Mus musculus: one gene and its partners. The protein of the gene in region 2 binds, or shares a complex with, the protein of the main gene of each other region. Links are inferred from orthologs where the notes say so. Each region holds a gene or a part of one and is shown on either strand. Other genes may lie near its edges. The genes, in order: Rabggtb, Ptar1 and Ykt6.

The links.
Region 1: the proteins of Ptar1 (region 2) and Rabggtb are in contact, whole or in part, in a crystal structure (PDB 6O60), measured with the Homo sapiens proteins. The link is inferred for Mus musculus from reciprocal best matches to the Homo sapiens genes PTAR1 and RABGGTB. Residues at the interface, in NP_001093136.1 of Homo sapiens: Val61, Lys62, Leu65, Pro66, His69, Leu73, Arg76, Leu97, Asn98, Asp100, Phe101, Thr102, Thr103, Asn106, Lys109, Glu110, Leu113, Ile141, Arg144, Trp145, Pro192, Ser193, Tyr195, Ser199, Ile202, Trp203, Gln206, Val231, Ser232, His234; in NP_004573.2 of Homo sapiens: Lys6, Asp36, Tyr37, Cys40, Met41, Glu43, Tyr44, Ile89, Gly90, His91, Asp92, Asp136, Trp138, Glu140, Phe177, Asp178, Gly182, Cys183, Arg184, Pro185, Gly186, Ser187, Glu188, Ser189, His190, Gln193, Trp217, Glu221, Arg222, Pro225.
Region 3: the proteins of Ptar1 (region 2) and Ykt6 are in contact, whole or in part, in a crystal structure (PDB 6J7F), measured with the Homo sapiens proteins. The link is inferred for Mus musculus from reciprocal best matches to the Homo sapiens genes PTAR1 and YKT6. Residues at the interface, in NP_001093136.1 of Homo sapiens: Glu31, Gly33, Leu34, Ile35, Pro36, Val48, Val50, Glu51, Lys53, Leu54, Gly55, Ser58, Lys135, Tyr191, His225, Ser228, Met229, His230, Val231, Ser232, Asp233, Phe298, Asp301, Leu302, Ser305, Tyr306, His309; in NP_006546.1 of Homo sapiens: Met1, Ser29, Phe30, Phe31, Asn83, Glu84, Pro86, Gln131, Asn132, Pro133, Arg134, Gln180, Phe184, Arg189, Ser193.

Annotation. Positions count from the first base shown.
Region 1 is NC_000069.6:153,909,285-153,913,360, forward strand, and holds the start of Rabggtb (geranylgeranyl transferase type-2 subunit beta), read right to left. Parts: upstream 2,920-4,076; 5' UTR 2,776-2,919; coding exon 2,641-2,775; intron 2,407-2,640; exon of another isoform or gene 2,326-2,406; intron 1,684-2,325; exon of another isoform or gene 1,605-1,683; coding exon 1,407-1,604; intron 1,328-1,406; exon of another isoform or gene 1,283-1,327; intron 1,083-1,282; coding exon 977-1,082; intron 878-976; exon of another isoform or gene 780-877; intron 315-779; coding exon 262-314; intron 176-261; coding exon 65-175; intron 1-64. UniProt on the Homo sapiens protein: Catalyzes the transfer of a geranylgeranyl moiety from geranylgeranyl diphosphate to both cysteines of Rab proteins with the C-terminal sequence -XXCC, -XCXC and -CCXX, such as RAB1A, RAB3A, RAB5A and RAB7A.
Region 2 is NC_000085.6:23,707,794-23,711,424, reverse strand, and holds part of Ptar1 (protein prenyltransferase alpha subunit repeat-containing protein 1), read right to left. Parts: intron 2,672-3,631; coding exon 2,458-2,671; intron 1-2,457.
Region 3 is NC_000077.6:5,962,220-5,965,850, reverse strand, and holds part of Ykt6 (synaptobrevin homolog YKT6), read right to left. Parts: intron 3,515-3,631; coding exon 3,410-3,514; intron 3,159-3,409; coding exon 3,093-3,158; intron 1,291-3,092; coding exon 1,189-1,290; intron 1-1,188. UniProt on the Homo sapiens protein: Vesicular soluble NSF attachment protein receptor (v-SNARE) mediating vesicle docking and fusion to a specific acceptor cellular compartment. Functions in endoplasmic reticulum to Golgi transport; as part of a SNARE complex composed of GOSR1, GOSR2 and STX5.

The DNA of each region.
Region 1 (4,076 bases), on a different chromosome or scaffold from region 2:
ACTCAGTGAGAAGGTGTGGCCATTCACAACACAAAACCCCTATAAACTTTAATTGCAAAATTACCTGCCCAGCGTGAGATTCAGAGCCTGGTCTGCACCCAAATCCACCATCAAAGTTCATGCAGGACAAAACAAACTCAATCGCCTTTTCCACATTAATAGCATCAAGCTTGCCCTATGACGAGAAAGGAAGCAGCCTATTACAGCTACCTAGTACTCAAGTGTTTAATTCGGTCCTTTAATGCAACAGTCAAAGCTTACCAAAAGAGCCAAAGTTGCCACCGCACAAAATGAGAATCTTGTATCAATTTCTCCTAAAAGACAAAAAGAGCCAAGGCAGACATGTAAGTGCTACCAAGTCACCTAAGAACAAAACCCATTAAACTCCCCAAAGTCAAGACTGACTATGCTCACTAGGAGGCAGTCCCCCAACTTCTGAGGAAACCAGCTAGGCAAATAGAAAGCAATAGCCTAGTAGCTTGCAAGGGCCCAGAAAAGAAAGGAACCTATAAAATGGCAGGAGTATATGCCTCGCCCCCCATTCGGGCTAGTAATTTAGTAACATAATCAAAGCCCTGCTTTAAAAAAGGTTCACATCCCACAAAGCAGCTGGTCTCAGGACTGCATTTTGTTCCCCCCCAGATTATCTAAATTAATCAAAGGAAAAATTTCCATCTCCCAACTCAAGATATTTACTAATTTGACAAACGTTTAGAGACCTCCCCAGGTCTTTACCTTCAGGGAAGTTAATTATTATTGGAGATAAAACTTGAACCTACCTTATCTTTTAGTGTGGTGTGCTGACAAGCCAGCACGGGGCATGCTGGGACTTCCAGCAGGCCATTTTATTCCAGTTAGACCAACTGCTTAGTGGGACCTGAAAAGACGGAACAACTTGAAATCTTATGATTACTACCACCAAGACAAAAGATATTCTGAGTAGGAGTAGCTGACAAAAACTGCAATCTGGTCTTACCCCAAATGTCTCCAGCAAAGGAGCCATCTTCTTTCTGTAGGCTCTGAACATAGGCCACGACCTTATCTACGTTGATAACATGAACACTGTCATACAGAGTAAGAATCTGAAAGACAAGCGGGTGTCACAGGTTTGTCCTGGATCAGAGTCACCCACCAGGCCCTCTCAAGCTTACTATAAACTTCTTGTTCCCTTGATAAGGTAAGAAACAGGTAGGGCTTTAACTATCCTCTGGCTCTTCATTGAAACCAAATTTGAACTGGACTGTGCTTCAATTAACATACACAAGGAGTTCACCTTCCAAGGTCTCAGTGTAATTTGTAACTTGCATCAGGTTAGCATTCAGCTAATACATGCCATGACATCACTGACCTGTGGGAAGTAGCCTTTGGGTGGTCACAGCAAGTGGCAAGGTTTCACAAGGGCTCACCTGGACAGCACTGAGCGTGTACAGAAGGTGGGGGTCGTGCCCAATGCTAGCACTTATTCCCCCACACTCATGCTGGCACGACTTGATAAACACCAGGATTTCTTCTCGGTTCATGCGATGAAGCTGTCCCATGAGGTCCATCACAGTCAGGCCCCAATAGACGCCGCTCATTCTCAGGTATTCAGACATGCAGTATTCCTAGGAGAAGCATCTCAGATTTGCCACTCTGACTTTACATAACCCACCTCTACCTAAGTCAGCTGTGAACAACTCGTAAGGCTTTAGAGTGGCGGTTGCCGACCCTTTGGGCCCCACATTCTGATTCCTAACAATGAAACTAGTTATGAAGTAAGTAGCAACAAAAGTTATCTCATGGTCGGAGATCGCCACAACACGTAGAACTGTTAGGAAAGGTCACAGCAGCAAGAAGATTGAGAGCCAATACTCTTAGTCTCCAAGTGCTAACCTCAGGTGAATTAACCAAAAGCAGTATTGATGCCTACTGTTTACTAAGCATCAATTATTGCATTCTACAAATGAAGTCTATGAATACGGAAAGATAAATGACGCTAAAGATGGGAACCAAATGAAGCATTACCTCACAAGCATTTATTCAGGTGAAGGCCTCACTGGCGTGCTGCCAAACCAAACCCAAAAGAACCAGGTGCACAGTTGGCAAGAAGGCCACACATTTGGGCCTATGATTCCCACTAACTGAAAAGTTGTAAAGACAGTCAAATGCCACGCTCTCTAAGACAGAGAGCTGCTGCACAAATACTTTTACCCAAATGACTCCTCCTTGGAGGGTCCCCCCACAGCTTGGGCCTTCTCAAACTCAGCCACCCCTGCTTGCTGCTGGCAACCTCCCCGGCCATTTCCCCAGGCACACCATTACATCAAGTTTAGGTAAAACCTTTTCAAGGTCTCAGCGTAATTCTAGAGCTAAAGTGTTATGACACATCAGCGAATTCAGATAATACATGCCAACACATCATTGACCTTCAAGGTTTTACCCCAGACAGAAATGAGCAAACCCCTTCTACCTGCAGCCCTGCACTTCCGCCCTTTATGTACCAGCACATGACTGATGTGGTCAAATACCAACCTCTGATATACAAGGTACACCTATAATACATTTTAAATCAGGCCTCTCAATTAGTATTATACAAGTAAGTATTATACTTATTGCTGTTAGTCTTAGAAACCTTTCAACAGAAAAAAGAATCATACGCACATAATCATCTTTCTTTGAGCCATAGGAAGCAATATAATCGGCATGCTTCTCCAGCAACAGGGTGTCAGGCGCATCTGACTTGATAGTAACGTCTTTCTGCTGTGTGCCCTTCCAAGAAAAAAGCAGAGATCCCATTCACCATCCGGAAATCGTGACATCTCAGACTCACACATAGCCAGATCTCAGTACTTTTTTTCTTTCAGGTCTCAGAGTAATTCTAGAGCTAAAGTGGTTTATAATCAACTTTAGATTCAGAATACATGCCAGCTCATCATTGACCCGAATCTTGACGCTTATCTTTTGAGTTATGCCAGAAATACACACTCTTGCTTAACAAGTTTGAGGCTTCAGCGCACCTTTCTACAGTCTTCACATGCTAACCCCTTTGCTAAATAATCAGACCCATTAGCTCCAAATTCCACCTTCGATTCTAAGACTCACCCAATAAGTAGGTCAAAGCGATTGCCAAAATAAATTTCCTACTTTATTCAGAGTCTCGGCTATGAAGCCCTGTCTGGTCTGGAACTCCCTGTGTAGACCAGGCCACCTGCTTCTGCCTCACTTCTTTAATCCAAGAGTGTTAGGATTAAAAGGCGTGGGCCAAGGCCGACTTCCTTCCATCCCAGTTAAAATGTTTAACTATGAAACAACATTCGTAAATGATCATGTAACCTTCAAAATACAGGCACGTACAAGTCCCCGATGTTAAGAAAAAATATCAGGCGGCCCAATCCAGGAAGGCTCGCCCACGGTCCGCGGATAAGATCCCAGGCCTCGAGAAGTGCAGAAAACGCTGAGCCATACACAGCTCAAGCGGCAGTCCAAGTATGGCCTAAGGAGGCCGAGGCAGGGGCATTGCGGAGAGCTCCAGGCCAGCCTGGGCCCCACAAGAATGATCGCCTTGCAGGCCCGCCTGTTCCCCATGCTGTGCGAGCCCGCGATGCCCCGCAGCCCGACCCACCGCCCAGACCACCCCTGCCTCCGCGCACCGCAGCGACGGTGCTCTCACCATGTCCGACCGCCGAAAGACTGAAGCGCGCGGGAGCACGGGGAGTCAGGGCCCGCGCGCCTGCGCACACGCGCCCGCCCGGCCGCCCACGCCCTACGTAGCTGGCCACGCTCTGCCCGAAGGACCCCGCGGCCGCGATTTAGCCGGTCGCACACCTGCCTGAAGGACTCCGCGGTCACGATGCAGCCGGCTACGAGTCTGCCTGAAGGACCCCATGTCGCTCAGTTTGCAAAGAGCTTTCCTTAGCATTCAAGGAGCCTGGACATTGATGTCAACCACAGCGTTCAAACCCGGAGTGCTAGTGCAGACCTGTTATCCCAGCACTGGGAAAGCGGAGGCAGGAGGATCAGTGATCCAAATCCTCAGCTGTGTAGGCACTTGGAAGCCAACCTGAGCTCGAGTCCCTATCCCCAATACCCTCGAAGAT
Region 2 (3,631 bases):
GACAGCTGTTGAGGAATTAACATCACACTCTTTTCAGGGGCAGGAAAGTGCGGGTACGAGAAGCTGGGGAGCTTTCTTGAGGCTACAGAGCAAATTGGTAGAACAGCTAGAATACAAATTAGGTCTGTATGCCACAAAGAGGCACGTTTAACTATGCTGTAACTAGACTGTCTCTGTCATCGTTTAATTAAGAGAGACGAAGTCCATGAACAGAAATGCTCTGACTCATCATCTCACTAGTACTGGATATCTAGCACGGCAAGATACTATTAACTTTCTACTCTTGCAATGCTGCTAGCGCGTGTATATGTCCTTTGTTTGTAAATGTTTTTACCCTTGGTTTGCAGTCCGAGAGTTTGAATCTGGTGCTGTACGACTCAGGTACGTCTTCTCGAATCTACCCAAGTCTATTCTGAGATGACACTTCACTAAGTTGCCCATCCCCAGTGGCTGAGCTCACTATGTAGCCCTGATTCCATTCCGCTTGTGCTCCTCCTGCCTCCCATTTGAGTAGCTGTGATCCCAAGTGTGCACCACACTCAGACTGAAACGCACTTCTCAGCTGCTCTAGACAACGGGTACTTTTGTTAAGTACTACTTCTCAGAGATAAAGCGCAAAACCCAGACCCTTAGAACAACAGGAACAGTCTTTAAAAACAATTCAGTACATTTTACTGAAACAAGCAAAGAGCACACAAGGCTAGTGACAGGAAGCACAGCAAGTCCTCCTGAAGACAAGGAAGTGGACGAGATGTGAGCACAGCACAGAAGTAGATCCAGGGAGCTGGGTCAAAATCTCAACAGTGAGCTATGCATTTACCGTAAGATGGTCTCAAATGAGCAAGGATTTCTCCTTGGTGCATTGCTGCTGATGTTATGAGAATGGGCCCTGAAAGGGTCCAGGACTAGCAGGCAAGTCTCCCGTCACGTTTCATCCCACTGACCTTTCAGTCCCAATTCACCCCCCAGGCTCCACCCCACTATCATGCTATAGAGCAGAGATAAAGAACTGCAGTAATCAGTATCCCTGACATTAACCACGTGACCTGTGCATCTCTACTCCCACGAAGCTGCTGTTTCTAGTGAACCATTTCTGCTGTTTCCAAATGGACTCAGAGCTCCCCACTCTCCAAGAGTTATGCTACTTTCTAACTGTCGGTTGGACTCTCTCCAGTAGAGTTCATCTGGTGGACAGTACCAGTCTAGTGCCAGCAGCTGGGAATGATAACCTTTTAGAAAAGAACCATATATTGATAACTAAGCCGGTGAAGCCCGCTGCAGCTCATCTCACCTAATCTTTTTATTGGTAGGAGGACCTGTGTGAGAAAGAAACCTGTGTGAAAGAAACCCAGAATGTTCGGTACACTAGCTCAGGCAACCCTCACACTAACATCAAGATAGACAGCAGTCTTTATTTTAAAAATAAAATCTCAAAGGATTACTCTCCTTGTCCCTACAATATGAGCCAGGCTGATGCAATGCTAAGAGTGTCTTGTCTGCTCTGCCTGTTCCTTTGGGTAGCTCCCTCCTGAAACTCACAGCCATGAACAGAGATGGAGCGGTCTACTCTCCTCTGTTGGCTTAAATTCCCTTGGAAGTGAAAACTATATTTACCCTGAAAGACTAGGAGATGAGGAAAAGGGAACTTGGAAGAGAGACCAGAGCTGGTGAACCACAACGACAGGCAGCTCTCTTGGAGCGCACTGACCTTCAACTGCACCTCTTTCAACTGCCCCAACCCCGGGAGGCTTTTAGAAAAGAACCATATATTGTTATGGAATCCTAATACCATAAACAACAAAGGAAAAATGGAGATGACTCTGTAACAGAAAAAGGAACAAAGGGGCTTTCATTCTGACTGATGAGTACTAAATGTTCTAGATGACCCAAGGATAGCTAAGTCTAAGCCTCAAAACACTCCAGAAACTTCCATCTCCCCATCTCTAAAGGGAAAAAACAATGCTGTGAGAGGTGAGAGCCGCACTGAACCTCTGGAGAGCACCTGTATGGGGAGATGCCCCCTGATCCTGGCACCACAGGCCTGCAGAGGCCTTGGGCACCCACGTGACTTATAGGCTTCTTTCCAAGTCTGTCCCCGCTCTCTCCTTTCCTTCCTGAGAGCCAAGGATATGAATATGAATCTGCTATTTCAGCTCCTTGACAGGTGTCCAGAGACCACCATGATATAATTTCAATTCTCCGTAATTTAATAATCTTAGTGAGTTGTATTGACCCCTTATGTTGGGTTCTTTATGCCTTTAGTCTACCAACATATTTCCTTTACCAGTGTCTCGAGCTGTACCAGTGGGAGATGCCAACCCTTCTGTAATTATGAGGATTTCTCTGGAAACCACGGCCGCCTTGGTCCTCTGGGGCTGCTGGAACACCACTTTGAGGGGTAAATTACTACCGAGATTAAAGGGTGGATGGGCAGCATTGGCGATGGAGAATGAATACCTTCAGATCCAGCTTGGCCACGTTCTGTAAAACCCAGATGCGATGGGACCAGGCATTGTAGTTGCTGGGATATCTCCCTGCTGCTTCACTGCAGACTTCCATCTCTTCCTGTATTATCCGCTGTGTCCTCTCTGCAGGAACTGCACCTAAGCTTCCTTTGGCCACAGAGGAGGGCAGGAACGTTTCCTGACTTAACTGCTGCAGCACCCAGCGCCTATTAATATAGCACAGGGGAAAGAAGAGGGAAGAACATGGGTGAGAGAGGAAAATAATCATTTCCCTTGATTCTAGTTTCAATGTACAGGTAATACAAACATAATCGATAAGCTCAGGTATGGGGCTATCAAGGGGCTGCTGCTACTGTGCAATGTAAGTCAACTTAACAGTGTGTGAGGGATGGGGCTGCCATTCAGTCACATCTTTGACCCGTAATTATTCCTGTCTGAAAGAATTACAGGGATGGAAATGGAGAGGAGCCTGAGGAAAAGAAGGTCCAGCGACAGGCCCAAAGTGGGATCCAGCTCAAGGGGAGGTACCAAGGCCTGACACCATTACTGAGGCTATGGAGCACTCACAAAAAGGGACCTAGCAGTCTGCCCTGCAAAAGACCCAACAAGCAGCTGAAAGAGTCAGATGCAGATACTTGCGTCAACCAATGGACAGAAGCAGCTGACCCCTGTTGTTGAATTAGGGAAAAGCTGAAAGAAGCTGAGAAGGGTGATCCTGCAGGAGGACCAGCAGTCTTAATTAATCTGGATCCCAAAACAGACAGCACATACCAGCTGATATGAGGCCCCTAACACACATATAGTAGAGGACTTCCAGGTCTGTGTTCATTCAGAGATGAAGCACCCAACCCTCAAGAGACTGGAGGACCCAGGGAGTTTAGAGGTCAGGTAGGGTGGGGGGTGGGGACATCCACGTGGGGACTGGGTGGGGTAGGGAGGAGGTGTGTGATGTGGAGCAGTTGGAGGGTGGATGGGGGAGGGGCAGGGAATGGAATATGGAGTGTAAAAAATAAATTAAAAATAAAATTAAAAAAAGAAAGTTTCATGCTCATGTTTTGATTTTGTAAGAACAATAGCCTCTTGTTTTTCTATAAAAATACATTGTTTCTAAACTTAAAACAAACAAACAAACAAAACCAGTGTGGGTCAGAAGGGAGACATGAGAA
Region 3 (3,631 bases), on a different chromosome or scaffold from region 2:
TAGGCTCCTTATGGTTTTTGTCGCACACTAATATTTTCAATAAATTAATATAGTTCCTACAATCAGACCATGTATAAGCAAAAGAAGCAATCGTGGAAATTGGATTGATGGAGTCTTTCAGCAGTGCTATCACTGCCTTGGCAGAGAAGTATGGTCTCTGCGCATGTCTGCAGCAAGCAGCTGCTACTGAACCGATTCTTGCTTTTTGGCCAAAGCCCACCCTTCTAACCCCACCTGATCATCTTCCTCCAACATTGCAACTCAACATAAATATGCATAGGCAGACTTATCTCTACTATTGTCCCACAGTGGGCCAAGAACACAATGTTGGGGCTAAGGTGATGGCTCAGAAGTTAAGAGCACTGGCTATGCCAGGCAGTGGTGGCTCACGCCTTTAATCCCAGCAGTTGGGAGGCAGAGGCAGGTGGATTTCTGAGTTCAAGGCCAGCCTGGTCTACAGAGTGAGTTCTAGGACAGCCATGGCTACACAGAGAAACCCTGTCTCCAAAAACCAAAAACCAAAAACAAAAACAAAAACAAAAAACCCCAAAAAGAGCACTGGCTGTTCTTCCAGAGGATCAGGGTTCAAAACTCAGCACCCACACGGCAGCTCACAACCACTTGTAACTCCAGTTCAGGGAATTCTATGTCCTCTTCTGGCCTCTGTGGGCAGTAAGCATTTATGTGGTGCACATACATACATGAGGCAAAATACCCATACATATTAAACAAAACAACAGAAATGTTCACAACTGGAAATTTACGTAATGCCTCGAGAGAAGCAGGCAGTCAGCAGGAGGTACCCTGCCAATGGAAGGAAAATGTATAGAGAACTAAGAATCACCTCAGAGACGTGAACTGCTGGTATCTTAAGGATTTATGCCCAAATGTTCTCCCACCAGAGGAATTAGGAAAACCCTGGTGACCAAAGCTGGAACCAATATGGGAAGTGGGTGGTAGCTCTGAAACCAGCAAGGCCTAGCCTTGGTCAAGCAGCAGGATGCCCCAGTGTACGCCGCTCGTCCCTGGAGCCGAAGCACTTGCTTTAGGTCCCCATATCCCAAGGAGTAGTACCCAAATCTCATCTTGGTTAAATAAAGGGCCAGCCCTCATAAAGAATGCTAGAGAAACTAGGTGCAGTGGCTGTGTAGACAGGGATGCCCTGGAGGGCCAGGCAGAGCTACTCACAGTTTTATAGAAGGCTTTCGACTGTGTTCCCAGCACTTCTGACTTGGATACCAGGTCATCAAGCTTCTCGCCTCGCTCTAACAAAGACTCCATGGTGTTGTGCTAGGCAAGAGAGAGAGAGAGAGAGAGAGAGAGAGAGAGGAGAACTCTTGGCTCTGTGCAGTGAAGTGTCTGCTGACAGCAGGCCCTCATGGAAGTTTAATGGCTAGAAGTGCCTCCTCTGGGCCCCTACCCAACAGACACAACAAGCACTGAGACCCAGGCCCAGAAGATACTCCAGTCAAGTCAACAGCACAGGACCCGGTGGCTTTCCCATAATTTTTCCCAGCACAGACTGAGATAAGCACTGCTCTAGGAAAGCTCACACAAAGCATGTTTGTATTGCACTTGTGTACTGTAAGCACACATGTGCAGAGAGGTTTCTGTGTGTCAAGAAAGACATATCTGAGTGCTCTGTGACCGTACCAGGATAACAATGGCTGTCTAAAATTCACATCCATCCAGAGCCTCTGAATGAAACTGTACTTGGAGATAAAGTCTCTGCAAGTGTCATACGCGTAAGAAGCAGTGGTGCAGGGTTAGGTGGCCTTAGTTACATAACCAGCATCTTCATAAAACTACAGATGCAGGCACAGAGAAGCCATGTGATGACACAGGAGAAACTAAGAAACAGTGAGAACTGCCAGCAACTTCCAGAAACCAGAGAAAGGCCTGGAACAGACATTATTCACATGGCCCCAAGAAGGAACCAGTCTGGCTCAAACTTCAACATCAAGCCCCAGCCTCCTACGAGGGAACACATGGCTGTTGTTTGGAGTCATACAGCTCATGATTAAGTCTGAGCATCCATAGGAGACTAGCATAGTGAGAAAGCTGTGTCATCTGACCCAGGAGCCACAGAGCTACCAAGCACTTGAGACAAGTCCTAATATGTGCTTCAAGTGCAAACATAACACATTTCAGAGACTCAGGCTCAGCATGCAGAAAACTTTATTAGGACTGGAGAGATGGCTGGCTCAGTGGCTAATCATACTGGTTGCTTTTCCAGAAGACCTGGGTTCAATTCTAGCACCCACATGGCAGTTCACAGTCATCTCTAACTCCAGTTCCAGGAGATCCAATGCCTTCTGCATTAAAAGGCACTGCATTTGTGCAGTGCTCAGATATAACATGTAGGCAAAATCACCCTTACATATAAAATAAAAAATTGTAAAAGGTAACACTGTATTAATGACTTTTTTATACTAAAGATGTGATGGAAAGATACTTGGACATTCGGATTAAATGAGTAACAGCAAATCTCAACTACTTTCCTTTTTGTCATTTAAAAATGTGACTCCTTCCAAATTCAGAGTTTACACACACATATCAAATACACAATAGGTTACACGCTCACTGACAGCACCGTGACAGGAAGCCTCGAGATGAGGTCTAGTCTGTCAGCACTACAATCTGCCTTGTGGAAACAGGAGGACAGAGATGGAGGCCCTCTGAGGAGCAGTCCTGCTGCCCGGTCCATTTCCTTTCCCAGACAGCCACTGCCAGGCAGCTAGCTGTCCACTGGTGTGAGTGATACCAACTGAGGAGTCAGCCACACTGTCCTTTACTCCTGTACATAACTGGGCAATTCATACAGCAGAAAACGTCAGCTCAAAGCTAGGGTACAGCTCACTGGCACAATGCTTACTAGGACCACACTGATTCCCAACCTGGTCCCCTCCAAGTAGAGGGCACTGTAAAGTAAGATGAGGTATACAGGGAGAGTGACAAAGTTGGTGGAGTGGCAGCCACCACTTCCTGAAGCATGCTGCGACTGTCATTACGTAGGAATGGACGCTGTGTTTGGTCAGCGCACATCCTCCTGTGCTTTGGCGTCATGTTTGCCCTCCACCCTTCCTGCTTACCAGAATGATTTTGGTCTCGTCCAGTTCGGCCTGCACTTTACTCATGGGATCAGCTTCTCGGGGGTTCTAGGAAACAAAACAAAGTCAAGGTTGAGACTGAAGTAGTTACCTATAAACAATGTTGAACTGAGGAAACTACCAATTCTCACAATAAAAAGGCACAGAACAGTGGACTCAAAACCTAGGGTTATCTGAAACGATTTCTCTGTGGTTCTCAAACAGACCATTCACCTGCGCATCAGCCCTGAGCTACCACGGGTGTGGACCTTTTCCAGGTCCCACAGCTTCTGGGACGTCTCTAGATGGTGTTTCTTTACCTGGTATTTACTAAGGTGATCGTCCAGGCCTGTGTACTGGATTGTAGCCGGGGATCCTACTGGCCAGTCTATTCTATCCACCTGCTTGGAGAATTCATCTAGTACCTGCAAAACAAAGGAGACGCAACATAGCTTCCACCCAACTTCCTAGTACCTTCGGTGAAGCACCTTCCCCGACAGCGCTCATCCCACATGAGACTCCAGGGCACCCCAGGATACACA